2 linked regions of the Schizosaccharomyces pombe genome follow. Changing the gene in region 1 together with any one later gene gives a genetic interaction. Each region holds a gene or a part of one and is shown in the gene's direction. Other genes may lie near its edges.

Evidence for each region.
Region 2: of mam4 (region 1) and erf2, changing one enhances a phenotype caused by changing the other (phenotypic enhancement), as found in Schizosaccharomyces pombe (one study listed by BioGRID).

The regions. Positions count from the first base shown.
Region 1 is NC_003424.3:1,226,229-1,234,693, reverse strand, and holds mam4 (protein-S isoprenylcysteine O-methyltransferase Mam4), read left to right. Parts: upstream 1-4,421; 5' UTR 4,422-4,623; coding exon 4,624-5,334; 3' UTR 5,335-5,599; downstream 5,600-8,465. Other genes in the region: SPOM_SPAC10F6.14C (ABC1 kinase family protein), read left to right, coding at 771-2,378; caa1 (aspartate aminotransferase), read left to right, coding at 2,677-3,906; autophagy-associated protein kinase activator Atg17, read left to right, coding at 6,043-7,278; rio1 (RIO family protein kinase), read right to left, coding at 7,415-8,465. UniProt on the Schizosaccharomyces pombe protein: Mediates C-terminal methylation of the isoprenylated C-terminal cysteine in M-factor.
Region 2 is NC_003423.3:1,863,764-1,871,865, reverse strand, and holds erf2 (palmitoyltransferase Erf2), read left to right. Parts: upstream 1-4,333; 5' UTR 4,334-4,416; coding exon 4,417-5,469; 3' UTR 5,470-6,045; downstream 6,046-8,102. Other genes in the region: F-box protein Pof9, read right to left, coding at 1-19; phosphoserine phosphatase Ser2, read right to left, coding at 565-663, 735-1,532; SPOM_SPBC3H7.08C (uncharacterized protein), read right to left, coding at 2,023-2,264, 2,425-2,476, 2,546-2,614; elongator complex subunit Elp6, read left to right, coding at 6,258-6,452, 6,535-7,089; protein tam8, read right to left, coding at 7,113-7,346; trm141 (actin binding methyltransferase), read left to right, coding at 7,680-7,967, 8,040-8,102. UniProt on the Schizosaccharomyces pombe protein: The erf2-erf4 complex is a palmitoyltransferase with a major role in driving sexual development. Palmitoylates ras1. Palmitoylates isp3. Palmitoylates rho3.

The DNA.
Region 1 (8,465 bases):
CTTATCTACTCCATTCTGGACAAGGAGTTATATCTCTTGAGGTTTAAAGTACAAAGGCTAAAGGAAAAACTAGCGCCATTAATGAAACCGCTGATTCTTCAAGTCAGCACGTTACCGCCTGTCCCAATCTCCATGGAGATCAAGACGCAAGAGTCCGGGGACTTTCCCTAAAGCTGTTTAGAGGAATAAAAATTCCTGTATGACTGCTTCAACCACGATCGTTCGAGCTCAAAGGTATCATTTGGAAAAATTAAAGTGGAAACAGTGGTATATATATTACTGACTATTTACGTGACTGTTTATAACCCTAACCTGTTTTTGGATTGAATAGATCTGTTGCTCTGCGATTCTTCGACGAGCAATTGACCGACATAGCATTTAATACTTTCAGTATATCAATGAGCAATGTTCTTAAGTGTTATCGGAGCTGTAGTAGCATATCACCTTGTAATAAAAAAGTTATTGACAGAATCCCTCATTCATAACGACTACACTGAATATCATTATTTATGAATTGTGTAATATAATGTCTAAAATAATAGTATACTGGCGACGTTATCTTCAGTTAATTTATCAAAAGTATGATACGCTAAATGGGAGAATGCATTTCAATGGCTGCCTTAGGTCAGAAAGTTGAGAATGTTGAAAGGACACAGCGCCAACTTGATCTATTTATGATAGTCCCTTTACTACCTTCCTTGAATCCAAAGTGTTGAACTTAGTTTACTTCTGCTCAAATTCGTCTTCTTCAAAGCCTTCATCCCGTAGAGATGTTGACTTCGTGGAGAACAATTTCTCTACTGCAGAAAACTACCAGTCGCTTCATTAAGCGATCAAAGACATATGCTGATGTACGTTATAACAGTCAAGCATTGCAAAATCATGGAGTTCCTGGTAACAAACGTAAATGGATGAAGAGGTTCGTATTTGTTGGTGCTGCTGGAATAGGTGTCTACGCTTGGGATCGAGTGTATAATGCCCATGCACTTACCCGTAGTATTAGAACAGTATACACCGCTTCTATAATTGCGGCTGACTATAAGTTGAATTTCAGCGAAAAAAAGGCAGACAAAATTGATGCTTTGCACCAAAGAGTAGCACAGAGACTGTTTAAAACGATTTACAAAAATGGCGGTTTATACATCAAGATGGGTCAAATCATTGCTATGCAATCAAATAATTTGCCTGAAGCGTATGGGAAAGCCTTTCAGGGAATGTTTGACAATGCACCTCAAGTTGAATGGGAAGAACTTCAAGACATATTCAAAGAGCAATATGGAAGACCAGTAGAGGAAGTATTTGCCAGCATTGAGAAACGTGCTGCTGCAAGTGCCAGTATTGCGCAGGTACATCGTGCTGTTTTACCTAGCGGTGAAAAGGTCGCGGTAAAAATTCAAAAACCAGATGTTGCTAAGCAAATGTCGTGGGATCTTCTCGTGTACAAATACATGATGTATGTTTATGATAAATGGATATTTCATATCCCTCTCTACTTTACGGTTGATTATGTCTCGGAAAGATTACGTTCTGAGGTTGATTTTACAACTGAAGCTAACAATTCGGAACATGCTCGTGAAGGGGTAGAAGAAACTGATTATTTAAGAGATAAGATATATATACCAAAGGTTTATAAAGAGATTTCTGGAAAGCGAGTAATGGTTACTGAATGGGCTGATGGCATTCCCCTCTATGATCAAACTGCTCTTTCTGAAGCTGGGATGAGCAAAAAGGAAATTTTAACGAACCTTTTCAGATTCCTTGCCTTCCAAATGTTTCATTCGAAACAAGTTCATTGTGATCCACATCCTGGAAATATCCTTGTTCGAAAAAATCAAGCAGGCTTGTGTCAAACGGTAATTTTGGATCATGGGTTATATGTATTTGAATCAGAAAAGTTTAGAAAAGAATTTGCCTTGCTTTTCACTGCAGCCTATTCATTAGACAAAAAATCTATTCTTCAGGTAATGGATGCTTGGGGGATTGGACAACCTGAGCTTTTTGCTAACCGCATGTTAAATATTCCAATGGATGAAGAGCAACCTCACACTGGTGAAAAAATTATTTCAAAGAAAGAGGCCTTCCAACAGCAGCTTGCTGAACGCAAAAAGTTCATTGGCTTCTTACAGGACTGCACTCGTTTACCGAAAGAGCTGTTAATGCTAGGTCGCTGCTTAATGCTTATTCAAAAAAATAACCAAAATTTTGGGTATCCAGTGAATAGTATAGCTGTTATGGCCAAGGTTGCTGATAAATACACTACCGACAAACCTAGTCCAACTTGGTATCAACGGCTGTTGTCGCCTATTTTTTGGGTCTTTCAACATTTATTTTACCCTGGAAATTTTCGGTTGCCTGAACTTACTAATGATAAAAAATGATATTTATAGTAAAGATTACTTTTCTTTATGGAAAGCCAATCTTTGACCATAATAATATAACTTCACATATTGCCTACTTTTCTCGATAAGACACTTCAGAGCTCCTCCTTGTAAAAGTTAAGCTCCTCCCTATACGAGTCAAACTTTGTATCGTTATTCACTATTACAGTACATCAAGCTCGGTATCTTATATGTCAATGAAGTATACTGATAATATAGTGATACTAAACCGAGTGATAAATATATATATATAGTAGATCAGTAAGGTTGAAATCTACCTACCGCATATTTAACCACAATGTCAGACTACGGGTTTGCAAATATTGAGGAAGCTAAGGCAGATGCAATTTTTAAATTAAATGCTCAATACCATCAGGATGAAGATCCCAAGAAGGTTAACATGAGTGTTGGCGCCTATCGTGACGATACTGGTAAGCCTTGGATTTTGCCTGCAGTTAAAAAAGCATCTAAAATAGTGGAAGAACAGGCAAGCTTCAACCATGAATATTTACCAATTGCTGGATTGCCTCGTTTCACTAAGGCTGCGGCTGAAGTTCTTTTCAGACCCAATCCTCATTTATTGTCCGAGGACCGTGTTGCATCTATGCAGTCAGTCTCTGGTACTGGTGCCAATTTTCTTGCTGCTAGTTTCATTGAGACTTTCTATGTAAAGCACACTGGAGCCCATGTATACATCTCCAACCCTACTTGGCCTGTCCATCGCACTTTGTGGGAAAAATTGGGAGTCACTGTAGATACATATCCTTATTGGGATGCCAAGAATAGATCTTTTGATTACGAAGGCATGCTAAGTACCATTAAATCTGCTCCCGAAGGAAGTATATTTTTACTTCATGCTTGTGCTCACAATCCTACTGGTATTGACCCCACTAGGGAACAATGGCTTTCTATATTCGAGAGTCTGCTTTCTCGCAAGCATCTGGTAGTTTTTGACATTGCTTATCAAGGTTTTGCCAGTGGTGATCTGAATCGTGACTCTTGGGCTCTAAACGAGTTTGTCAAATATAACAAGGACTTTTTCGTTTGTCAGTCATTTGCTAAAAATATGGGTCTTTATGGTGAACGTACTGGTTGCATGCATTACGTTGCAAAGGACGCTTCCACTAAAAACAAGGTCTTATCTCAATTGTGTATTGTTCAACGTAACACCATTTCTAACCCTCCCGCTTACGGTGCACGTATTGCTGCCGAAATTCTTAACAGTCCTCAATTGTTTGCTGAATGGGAACAAGATTTAAAGACTATGTCTTCTAGAATCATTGAGATGAGGAAACGTCTTCGCGATTCTCTTGTTGCACTCAAAACCCCCGGTTCTTGGGATCATATTACACAACAAATTGGAATGTTTTCTTTTACCGGTTTAACGCCTGCACAAGTCCAATTTTGCCAGGAGCGGTACCATCTTTATTTCAGTGCAAATGGTCGTATTTCTATGGCTGGTTTGAACAATTCTAATGTAGAGCATGTTGCACAGGCATTTAACCATGCTGTTCGCGAGTTGCCTTAAACTGATTATTAATACCAAAGTCACATAGATAAGTATTGGATTCATGAATACAGAATTTTGGATTGTTGTAAATTTGACGAATTTAGGAACAAATTCTTTAGCAATTTAGAGAACTAGTATATGCATTTATTCTTTGAATTTTTGAATAATATGAAGTTATCTGTTCAACTCATACACCGGGACTTCTCCTTTGTGAGTTAGACATCAGTATTTGGCTCATTATTTGCAAAACAAGTTGATATCAGTTTGTAATCGGATATGTTTAGACAAAACTGAGAAAGAGTTCTTTTTTAATAATTCATAACTTGCAAATTGATTAATGACAGAGTATTTGAATTCTTTGTTATATCGAGGTTTACTACATTAATATAATACAACTTTTAGCAACTATTAGAGCCAATACAAAGAAAAGAAGTCAAAACTTAAGTAATACAATATGAGTATGATTTTCTTTGTTTTACTTCCCTATTGTGTCAACTATAATTTTAAGCAGGAAATTTTGAAAATATCCTAATAACTCGAAAACCAGGCTAAAGCAAGGAATATCCCTCTTTGCATAAATTTTATTTCTTCTCGTGTCTTTCCTCCAATAATTAATAATTATAACATCTCTAAATGTGTATGAGTTAGTTTGTTAGGACATTTTGACTCAATAATTCTTCTCGATAAATTTAATAAAGAAAGTTGAATTCACATACCTGAATTTAATATACAATCATGGGGAATTTACATACGTCAATAGCTGTAGCATCTATTTGCTTAACCAGCGCCTTTCTTGGTTGTGTTTTTGGTTTGGGATTTTTCGTATGGATTATATACGGATATAGTATTGGAGGTTTTTTTGCATTTCTGAGTCTTTTTCATCTATTAGAGTTTTACATTACTGCTCGTTTTCAAGGTAGTCAGTTATCATGGGATTCTTTCATATTGAATAATGGCAAAGCCTACTGGTTAGCGATGTTAGTCGGCCTTTTAGAATGCTTATTAAGTGGCGGAAAAAGTTTTGCTAAGGTAATAAATTGCTTAAGATTTCCGAGCTTCTTAATCAACTTTATATTTTCGGTATATCAGACATCTGCTCTGGGATTTCTTTGTTTGGGACAATATCTACGATCCTCTGCAATGGTACAAGCCGGTCAATCTTTTTCTCACATTGTAGCTAGTAAAAGAAATAAAGATCATTTGCTTGTCACTGATGGGATTTATGCTTACGTTAGACACCCATCATACGTTGGGTTTTTTATCTGGGCTTTGGGCACTCAAATGTTGTTAGGAAATTTTGTCTCAACATTACTATTTTCTCTAGTTCTTTGGAAATTTTTCTCACAGCGAATTACTACCGAAGAAGCTTACTTAGTTAGTTTTTTTGGTGATTCTTACGAACAATATCGAAAGAAGGTCCCATCTGGAATTCCCTTAATTCCATAGGTTCACTATTATTGTTATTTGAATAGTTGATAAAAGCATACTTAAATAATTTGTATCATCATCAAAGCAGCTTTTAAAGGTCTGACTATACAAATCTCATAACAAATTATTTTTATAGCCTTTTTCTCCTTCAAGGCTAATAGATATCAATTGTCCAAATAACAGCGCTTTGTCTTGCAGAATTTTAAAGATGTTTTCGTAGCTCCGCTAAACATCGAAGTGCCATTAATATGATCAGCTAATCTGAAATTTTCTCTTAAAAAATAATAGTCTGTTTACTTTTGAACCACAATAATTCTGAAAAGATTTACTGCTTAATCATTACTATTCATAGCTATAGTACTCTTAACAAACATTTCTTCTTCTTAGTTTTCGTTTATGGTTTTAACTATATTATAATTATCGCTTCAGTCAACTTTATGTAAATAAAGAAAAATAGCGAAAAACAACTGCAATATTGTGCAATTTATTTGCTGTAGTTCGCAAGCTCTCATTAATATGTGCTACATGCGCTCACTTGCTATATTTCAATTTCGCCGCAAGCATACAACTCTGCTTCACAATCAATTCCTTTGTATTAAAGGTCCTTTTGAAAAGTTTGTTGGCCGATATATATATAAATATATATCTATCCTTATATATCTATATAGTTTCTTTTCCAGTGGAGTGCATACAAGAGGAATACAGTTTTACCGCGTGAGTGCGGTGATGGAATTGTTGCAGCAGTGGACTCAGCAAGCCAAAGCAGCTCTTACTCAAGCCAGGCAACTGTGTGGTGATGCACATAAGTTTAATGAAGATGCAAAAACTGATTTGAGAAATTCCATAAAGCAGCATCAACAGCTAAAAGAGTTGGCGAAGCTCACAGCATCTCAATGTACTCGTTTAGACTCTTCAACAGCTCTTATTAAGCAGTTATTAGATCTAGTTCAAAATTATCCAACATTTAATCAATTAAACGTCCTTCATGATCGATTGGAATCGTCACTTAAACGTCTTCGTGACTGTACATTAGATCCAGCCTTAGGAAGCGAATATACCAATCTTTATGCATTTGTAGATGATACTGCATTAGAAGATTTGAAAACCAGGCTCCGAGGCGTAACTGATGGTGTTTGGAATGCTTTCGAAAAGCTAGCGGGTTTACTGGAAGAAGATTTGTGTGCCAATTATCATAAACGTTTAGAAGCTGTTTCATTAGACTTCTTACCTCCCGCTTATAACGATACTGCCGAAGAACTTGCGGATTTGCTTTTGCAAGTTGCTCAACATTACGATCAATGCTCCGAAGCTCTCAATATTTATGACACCCTTTCTGATGCGGAGAAGAAAGATCTCCAAGAAGTGCTTCAATCAGACTCTAATCATGTTCCTTCGGTATTGACAGAACTTAGGAGTGGATTAGATCAAACAATTCATTATTTCAACGCAGTTCAAAGTTATAAGTCAAAGGTAGATTCGGCAACATCGATTTTGGAAGCCTTGGCTGAGGAGTTAAACAAAAACCAGTTGACTAATCAAAGGCATGAAGCCGCGCATGAGTTAATGAGGGCGCAAACCGGCCTGGAGATTCCGCAATTAGCTCAAGAACTCGTGCAGCTTGAAAGACATTACACACATTTTGCTAAAGCGTATACCGCTCTCCTTCAGGAAATTCACAGACGACAAACCTATGAAAATTGTGTAAGATCCATTGTGGACGAATTTGTGGGACGCCTGGAGAAGGAACAACAGGCGGAGGCGAAATGTCGTATCGATTTTTTCAATCAATATGGTGATTATTTACCCCAGACTCTATGGGGAGCTGTAACAGATCCTCCTTTACATTTTGAAATTATAGAGCACCAATATACAGAATTGCCAAACGTAAAGGTAATTCCTGATAAAAACGATAAGAAATCGAAGCAACGTGAAAAATCTTCTACTACAGCCTCTAAGCGATGACCCTGTTAGCCATATTTTACGATTTTTAAAGTCTATAAACGTATAATGATTTTAGTTATGCTACTAGTTTATGAGTATTGTATAGACTTTTCCAATAAAGATAATTATATAAAATAACCGTAATTTTTTCCCCTGATTACTTTTTTCTTCCAGATTGTTTTAGTTTGCGCTTCTTCTCATACTTCGGAATCTTGGATTTTCTTTTCTCAGCCTTATCTTCTTTGGTTTTTTTTTTCCGTGCCCTCTTCTCCTCCGGTGTCTCCTTTGCACGTCCGTTTCCTTTACCTTGTTTTGCAGATGATTTTGAATCCGAAGTCCGTTCTTCTTCATTTTCCATACTACTTATAGAATTTGCATCATCATCGCTCTCCGAAGTCTCATTTGGGAGGATTTGATCGTTTTGATTTTTTGTAGTGTCATTTAAATCCAATTTTTGAAAGTCTGTATTTAATAAGTGCTTATATACAAGGCTATTAACACCTCCGGCGTTTACGATTTCAGTATCTCGATCAATGTCGTATACCTCATCTAAAGTCCGAGGAACATAAGTTTTTAAGAATTCCTCTTCGTATTCTTCTGTAGTAGGTTCTTCCTCATAAATTGCATTTAACCGGGTTTTCATGGCTTCCTTTTCACAACTTCCTTCTTCAGTAATGAATTTAAATAATTGAGGTAAAGATAAGCAACCAGCATTCAAACGCCTAAAGAATGTAGAAATGTTTAAAATATCCATTCTTAAAAAATCGATGCTCTGCGGGTGGTCATGTTCAACCGATTGTGATACATCAATAAAATAAACTTTACCTTTATGATAAAGTAAATTATATTCTGACAAGTCAGCATGCACGAGATGACAAACATGAAACAAAATACGCATATTCCGTGCTACAAGCTGATATAATTTAGTAGCCTCACCAGGCGTCATATCTATATCCTTTAACTTGGGGTATGCCCATCCTTTCTTGTCCCCCAGAAACGACATAAGCAAAACGTGCTGCTTCAATAAGATTGGCTCTGGGCAAGGAATACCAGCAGCAGCCACACGCTTCAAGTTTCTTATTTCTTTTTCAGCCCATAAGCGTACCATTTTTCGGGGATTGCGCTTGTTATACCCATGACGAAAACGAAATTCTCCAGAAACATAGCGGTCACGATCCTTAAATACTAAGATTGAAGTCTTATAAATT
Region 2 (8,102 bases), on another chromosome or scaffold:
GGAATGGTGATTTAGCCATAATGAATCTCGCATGGGTAGTAGTATATGAATACCTCTGAATATATACAAGGGAAACGGTGTTGAAATACGTCAAAAGCACATGTTTTCTGCAACTCTTAATAACTAGATACAATTGTATTATTTACAATTAATAAATGATAATAAAGAAAGGTCTATGAAACGAAGGTGTAGTCATTGCACGAATCAATTTCAAAGTCTATCAGCATAACGAAGCAGATTTAAGAGTAAATGATCGGCTTTATAAAAACCAATTGAGTAATTCTTGTCTGTTTTAAAGAAGAAAGCTTCTGAACTGCCCCTTTTTTTTTAAGCATTCATTGCACACCCTTTCCAATGAAGCATTGATCATACCAAAATTGTAAATTAAGGAAAAAGAAAAATAAGAGTATCAAAAATAAAGAAGTAGGGTATATAAAAGACGGCTCCTACTACAGAAAAAAAGACCACGCGCACAAGTAAAATATTGCTTTATAAAAACCAAGCCACAGTAGCTCAGAGTTCTTGACAGCGCCTTGCGATTGAAAAATTCTTGGAAATTCTAAATTAATTTTTGTTTTCCAATAGCTTTTTTTGTTGTTGCTCATCAATACCCAAGAGGTAAAGAGCGTTTTGCAAAGATGGAAGATTGATTTTCGAATCAGCCTAATTAAAAAAAAAAATCGAGTTAGTAAGATCATTAAAAACATAAATTTGTAAAAAAATTTCGAACATACCAATAATTGAACTTTGGGTTTAGCTTTGAACGCAATTCCTAAACCGGATTCGGCCATCATGACCAAATCGTTAGCTCCGTCCCCAACAGCCATCGTTTCGAGCTTATTTAAACCCAACTCTTCCCTCTTTTCACGCAAAATGGAAGCTTTTCGTTGTCCATCTACAATTGCACCTTGAACTTTTCCAGTGAGGAATTTACCATCATCGGAAAATTCAAGTACATTGGCATATGCATAGTCCAAGTCCAGTTGTCCCTTGACATATTCAGCCATTGGAACAAATCCACCACTAGCGACAACAAGAGTCGCACCCATTTGCTTAAGGCAATGACAAAGCTGTTTAGCTCCTGGAGTGAAAGTAATTTTGCCAATGACTTTATTTATGACATCGACGCTCAACCCTTGTAGTAGAGAAACGCGACGACGAAGTGATTCTTGAAAGTCAATTTCCCCATTCATTGCAAGAGATGTAATCGTAGCAACCTCTTTCTGGATGCCTGCTTCTGCCGCGAGCTCGTCAATACACTCTTGTTGAATCAACGTCGAGTCCATGTCAAATACTACAAGCTTCTTTTTAGTGGAAAATGTTGCTTCACTCAAGCAATTACAGTCTACATTCTCAGTAGCAGAAATGCGGTTACAAGCGTCTTTAGCATCTTCAAACGTTCCTTTAAGTTGGCCTGATACTAAAGTCCACTGTTCCCCCAGAGAACGAGTCTTCCCATCTCTAAACAAGGAGGAAATCTGTTCAAGCACATTTGGACGATTTGAGGAAACAACTATGGCTGCGTTGACCATGCTTATTAAAAGGTATGAGTGGGTTTGCTAAATTTTCTAAGTTGAAAAGCGTTGTTTTCGGCAAGTCCCATTTACTAATTACTCGGCTATTGATTAAGCTTAACGTTAAACGACAACAAGTACTAGGTCAATTTAAGTTATTTGAAAATCTCAAACAAGCTTATTTTTTGTTATTGTTTACAAATTTATCATTATCTTCAAAATGCTGTATAAATTGTGAAGTTGGTAAAGTGGTGCCTAAACTCCGTTTTCAAACACAGGTTAATAAGCAAATATTTTTTTTATACATTAAAGCAATAAAGCAAGAAATCATAACTAAGAAGATGTTTGGAAATATTGCAATATATCAGGGCAAATATTCCAAAAATGAGAGCCTACCATAAAGTAGAGAGTGAGATATTTGTAAAGTGAAAAAGCACTAAAAAAATATTTGGCAATGTAATAATTGTTCTCTTTCATTCCTAAAAGGTTATACACAATTTAATGTGCTTTACTTAGAGAATCGCTCAAGTACCTCTTCTGATACACCTTTAACGGGAAAAGTGCTGTATTGAATAGCAGAAGGTGCCTTTCGAGGTTCTTTACTCCTATCTCCTCGAGGATAATACTTGTAGCTATAATCAAGACTCTCATCACTTTTTCCGCTACTGCTTTTGGTGTCTTCCCAGGGGTGAGCATTTTTTGAAGGAATTCGGACTTGATCTTCATGTTGTACCAACAAGCCCCGCTGTCCTAAAAAACTGTTAGCTACAATCATTTAATTTAAACAATCATATGTAAATGCGCTTGTAAAATAAATATTCTGTAGGAAAATTTTAACAGAATATTAAAATTGAGTATAATGTTTCATTAACTGCGCTGATTTCTAATTTTCTACTAATTTTTAACATACCAAGCATATAACCAGCAACTCCAAAGGTATAAGTCATGACACACCAAGTTATCTAACAGCAAACTGATCAGCTTACGAAATAATCAACTCAATATATTTTTCAAAAAAAAATTGAGCTTACAAATAGTTCTGGATATTCTCTTGACCAGCGAACCAGGCGGTTCGACATAATTGAGCGCATAATTGACATGATGGTTCCAAAAATAAAAAGTTCTTGTTCGCTTGAATAGTTTGATTAATTGTTTCGAGATGGAAAGGATCTAAAATCCTTTTATGATTGTAAATGTCAAAATGAAATACGTAGGCGAACATTCGCAACATTTATGACAAGCATCAATATTTATGGGGATCGCCACCTGACGCAGACAAGACGTAGCAACGGTGCGCATTAAGAGATTCAAATTTGAATGGATAATAATATCATAATAATCACCAACTCCTTCTACTAAAGTGGTGAAAGAAGCAACTTTCCAATATTTCTAGATTTTCCAGCGTTTGCAATCGGGATCGAACCGCCCTTGTATTTATATTGCTTTATACAGTTTTATAATACTTTTCAGATACTACCTCTACCCTTGTATTATACTATAGAATTTGTTAGGACACTTATTTACTAAACTTTTCCTAAGATTATATTTGTAAATAATAAGAAGAGAACACTAAAAAACTTCGCAAACAAATAAAAATGGTTCGTACCATTATAAATAAATATAGTCATTTTTCAAAATTTAGCTGCCATGAGGTTAGTAACTTAATAGTAGTTGCTGACCGCAAATGTTTCTCCAGTAAAGTAGGTCCAATGTACAAGTACGTTTAAAAGCGTCATTGAGATTTTCTAAGGAATAAGAATTTAATTCATTTCCCTTTAAAACAGGAAATAAAACCAAAGGACCGCTTGGAGTCATGCATATTGAGGAATAACAATCTAATTCGATAATCTTGTGAACTACATTTCCACTAAATACAGTGAATGAAGCCAGGATGGTTTTTCTTAGATGTAGATTAGTAATAATTTTTCTTCAAAATTTCATCCATAACTGACCATATACCGTGTTTCTTGAGTTATTTGTTTACAAGCCATAGAGGTTATTGGGTTATTTCGGGGCTAGTGAAAGTATAGAGATGATCCTTTAAATTAGCCCTTTCATTAATAGCTTCGCGATAATCATAATTTCAATAGTTGCAACACTCTAATAAACTTTTAAGATCTTTTTTCGTTGCTTCCGTACCTTCATTTCTAATATTTTCTCAATTACACCCTCCCATTATTTTCCTGCTAGTTATTTAGCCATTTTAAAAAAAAAAAAAAAAAAAAAAAACATAATACACAAGATGAAAATGGTTTACTAGCTAGTCTACTTCCCATGATATTGGTCTTTTATCTTAGTCTTTGGAGTCTTTATCGAGTCATATATTACTAATTTTTCCATATATTATCCACTTTCTTTACAAACCCGAAATTGCACGGATAGTATAATTTATTAAACTTGATTTTTCTAACTTTGAGCCCTGAATTGTTGTACTGACAGGATGTTCCAATTACAGTATCGATGAAATATATTTAAATAAAAAGTTTGAAAAATATAAATACTAATATATTGGCACTCTTAAATAATTTTTTTTACATTTTATTCGTAAAAAAAAAATAAGTACTTTATTTATTATTATTAATTTTATTTCTTCGGTTAGTATTTTTTTTTTTAGCATTTCATTTCATATTCTGTTTTTATTTCCCTTCTCTTTTTAATACACTCTCATCGATTAAATAGGCGCCATTCCAAATATTAGTTATTAGAGTCACATTCTCTAATTGTTTATTTATTTTGATTTCTTTATTTGCTTAGTAAACAAACTTTGGCGGATGCTAATATTTACTTCACCCTCCATCGCAAAAGGGGTTCATATCCTTACCGACAACAAAACTACAAGATATAATACCAGGTGTAAAAATAGCTGTTTCTTTGCCATGTTTGTTGTTTAGAGAATATAATCATGAGCTATGAGAAACACAGTGATGCTAAGGCATCCCGCTACGCGTGGAATCAGCCATGGAATCCATTTGAGGTGACTTTGTCTGATCCAACGTATCCCATGAATTTGGAAGAAAAGAACCAAATTCCTTATAGATTTCAATCCGTTCCTGATGATGTTCCGGAAGTACCGCATATTGAAAGCCGATATAAGAATTTACCAGGAAACAATATCTATTTATGTTGTGGTCGATTGCAAATGTCATCTCAGTACAAAGCTTTCCTCATTAGCTTGTTTGCCTTGATTCTTCCAGGAGTCCTTTTCTTCATCTTTTCTGCTTTTTGGCTCTGGCATCATGTCTCTCCCGCTGTCCCTATTACCTTTGCTTACCTGTATGCCTTAGCCGTTGTTTCCATGTTCAAGTGCTCGACTGCTGATCCAGGAATTCTTCCTAGAAATGCATATTCTTTAACTTATAACCCTGCCCATCCCTGGTCTGTAATTCCTGAAGACCGTAAAGTCCTTGTTGGATCCACTCGGTCTGACTCTGTCTTTGTTAATACAGTTTATTGCCATACGTGCCACTTATATCGTCCTCCACGTGCAAGCCATTGTCATTTATGTGATAATTGTGTTGAATACCTTGATCATCACTGCATTTGGTTAAACACTTGCATTGGTCGTCGAAACTACAGATATTATTTTATTTTTTTGTTATCTGTCGTTCTTTCAGCTTTGTATCTAACTGGATTGGGGTTCTATACTTCTATAGGAAGTTTTCATGAATCCACAGATACAAATTTTGCGGCGCATCTTCGTCGTCCATGGGCTGGCGTATCTTTCTTCCTTGGCATTTATGGGGCACTTGGAGCAATACTTCCTGGCATCCTTTTCTGTTACCAGTGCTATTTAATATCTGTTGGTCAGAATGTTCATGAATACTTACGAGCAAAGAGTACAGAAACTGAAGATGTACATCCTTTTCATGACAGCATATGGCTCAATTTTCTGGTTGTCCTTTGTCGTCCTAAAAATGTGAGTTACGTTCGTCCCACTAGGAAGTCTTACGTGTAATATGCCTTGGCTTCACAAAGAAAATAAGAAATAAAAATTTTTTATTTGCTAGACAATAATGCTCAAATCGCTCACGCATATATGCTACACTCTTTCATCTTCCCCTTACCAATTTACTTTTCAGTACCGAAATTAATTTGGTTTTAATAACCGGAATAAAAAAGATTACTCCCCTCTTCAAAATTTTTACCTGGATAATGTTTTGTTCTTTTTTTTCATCCTTGTCGTCGACCCCTTCAGCTCGCCCTTTGTACTTTACAGAGAACAATGTACAGAAACAAATGTTTATAAAACTATTCCTTGTTCTCACCAATCTCTGGAATTATTAATATTTAATTTGGCTGCTCTCTTTTATTTTTAAAGTAATGCTGCTTGTTTTTATGACTTATATGATAGATAGATGGTTTTACCTCCTTTAGCTAAACCCCTTTCCAGTCTAATTTATTGGGATTTGCTCTTTATTGTTCTTTTTTATTATTATGATTGCCTTTTAGGCAAATCAATGTTCCATAGGTAGATAGTTTTTCTTTTTTTAATGAAATAGCTTATCCACATTTAGAGGATAGTTTTCTGGAAAATAATTTGGTATTAGACTTCTTTAATTTGATACTTGAAACTTCTATAATATTAGAACTAGCTTTGCATTACTGACCGGCTTGTTCATTCTTACTCTGGTTCATGTTGCTCCGTTCCCAGGCTTGTGTTTTCCATTCACCCTCTACAACCATTCGGAAAGCTGGTTACTGTAGTTAGGCTATAAAACTAATGACAAACGGCTCTTAAACCTAATGTCTTCTTTACACGAGCATTTACGCCCCATTCCTGAGCCTTTTTCTTTAACTTTGCTACTGGGAACAAGAGAAACACCTGTCACATTTCTGTTCCATTATTATTTATACCATGCGTTGAAAGCAAAGGAAAGTACTTGTTTTTTAACATTCAGTAAAACCTTAGATGAGCATGCAATTAGTATGCGTAAATGGGTATGTAAAAAGAGGGATTACGATTGCATAAGTGGTTGAATGATAAACTATTCGTATGACTAACCTACTGAACCAATATTAGGGAATGGATATTAAAACGAAAAAAAATTTCTTCTTTATCGATGGCTTCAGCATGCTATTTGCTCCTATTTCCAAGCCTTCGAAGGTACAAGCACCAGAAACCAAAAATCACATCAAATCTGTTTTCGCGCCTGTGATCCAATGTGTGGAGGAAAACGATTTTGAATTTGAAAACTCCACGATCATCATAGAAGATATTGATATTTTACAAAGTACTCATGCTCTCGATTCCACAAAGATTCAGCAGGCAATTTTGGAATTACGAAAATGTTTCAGTAGAGTCATTGTAAACGTGACTTTGGGAGCTCCGTTACCACAACAAAAGTCTTTAGGCTCTTCAATCGGACACATGGCAACTAGATGTATTTCCTGTCGGCCTTTGACTAGCGGTAGCGCTCGACGAATCACCGGATTCCTGCGTCTTTCTCGAATGCCAAATCACTTTCGTAGTGGAATATGCGAGACCCCGGAGGATGATGACAAGGAGCTTTTATACGAGGTAACGGAAGCAGGTGCTAAGGTATATTCCAAAGGGCAGGTGACGCTGCAACTCTAAATTCCTACTTCATCTACTTTTTCTCAATTATCTGCTGCTGCAGTCTCTTCGTCTCCCTTCTTTTCCACTTGTACATTATCTTGCACCCACCGTTTTACTAAAAATGTTCGTTGAGGCCTGGATTCATCTCCTTCTTCATTATCCTCATCATCTTCATTAGAATATGTATCTACAACAACAGGAACCCATTCTCTGCTCCAATGCACTGCTGTTTTTTCATTTTGTTGAGGTTCCACACTTTCTGAAGTCCTATTCATTGTATATTTGTAGAGTTGCGAGTATCACAAGGTGCGCGCGAATTGGTATAGGTGTAGGTTTACAAGGAAGAACAAGACGCTCTCTGCACAGTGTGCATTGATTTGTGAATTTGGAATTAACGAACTAGGTTTGGTTATTTTTTTATTTAAAATAGTGCTTTTTTAATTTAAAAAAAATTGATCGAGCCAGTTTGGTATTCATTGAAGGTTGTAGGGTAAATCGTTGTCATACAAATTTTTTATCGCATTTTTTGGAATAACTACTGGGTTGGGTAATATTTTGAAACATCTTTCATACATATAGAAGACCGTGCTACGAAATTGTTAGGAGATATGAGTGGTATATCAAAATTAAGTGATTTTTGGGTTGAAAAATATAAAAAGGAGTCGAAAAAGTCTTGGGATAAGTTTTACAAGCGAAATGAAACAAGGTTTTTCAAAGATAGACACTGGCTTGATCGTGAATTCGATTGTTATTTTGGATTGCCCGATAAGTTGCCATTGACTATCCTTGAAGTCGGATGCGGTGTTGGAAACCTCGTCTATCCTCTGCTAGAAGTGCAACCAAATTTGAAGATATACTGCTGTGATTTTAGTCCTCGTGCTATAGATTTTGTGAAGGTAAGGAGAGCTACTAAATTTATGCCAATTTGCTCTGAAATATTTAATTTACTAACCTTTGTCTTAATTTAGAAGCATTCCTGTTATAACGAAAATAGAGTTTTTCCTTTTGTTAATGATATAACCGAAGATTCT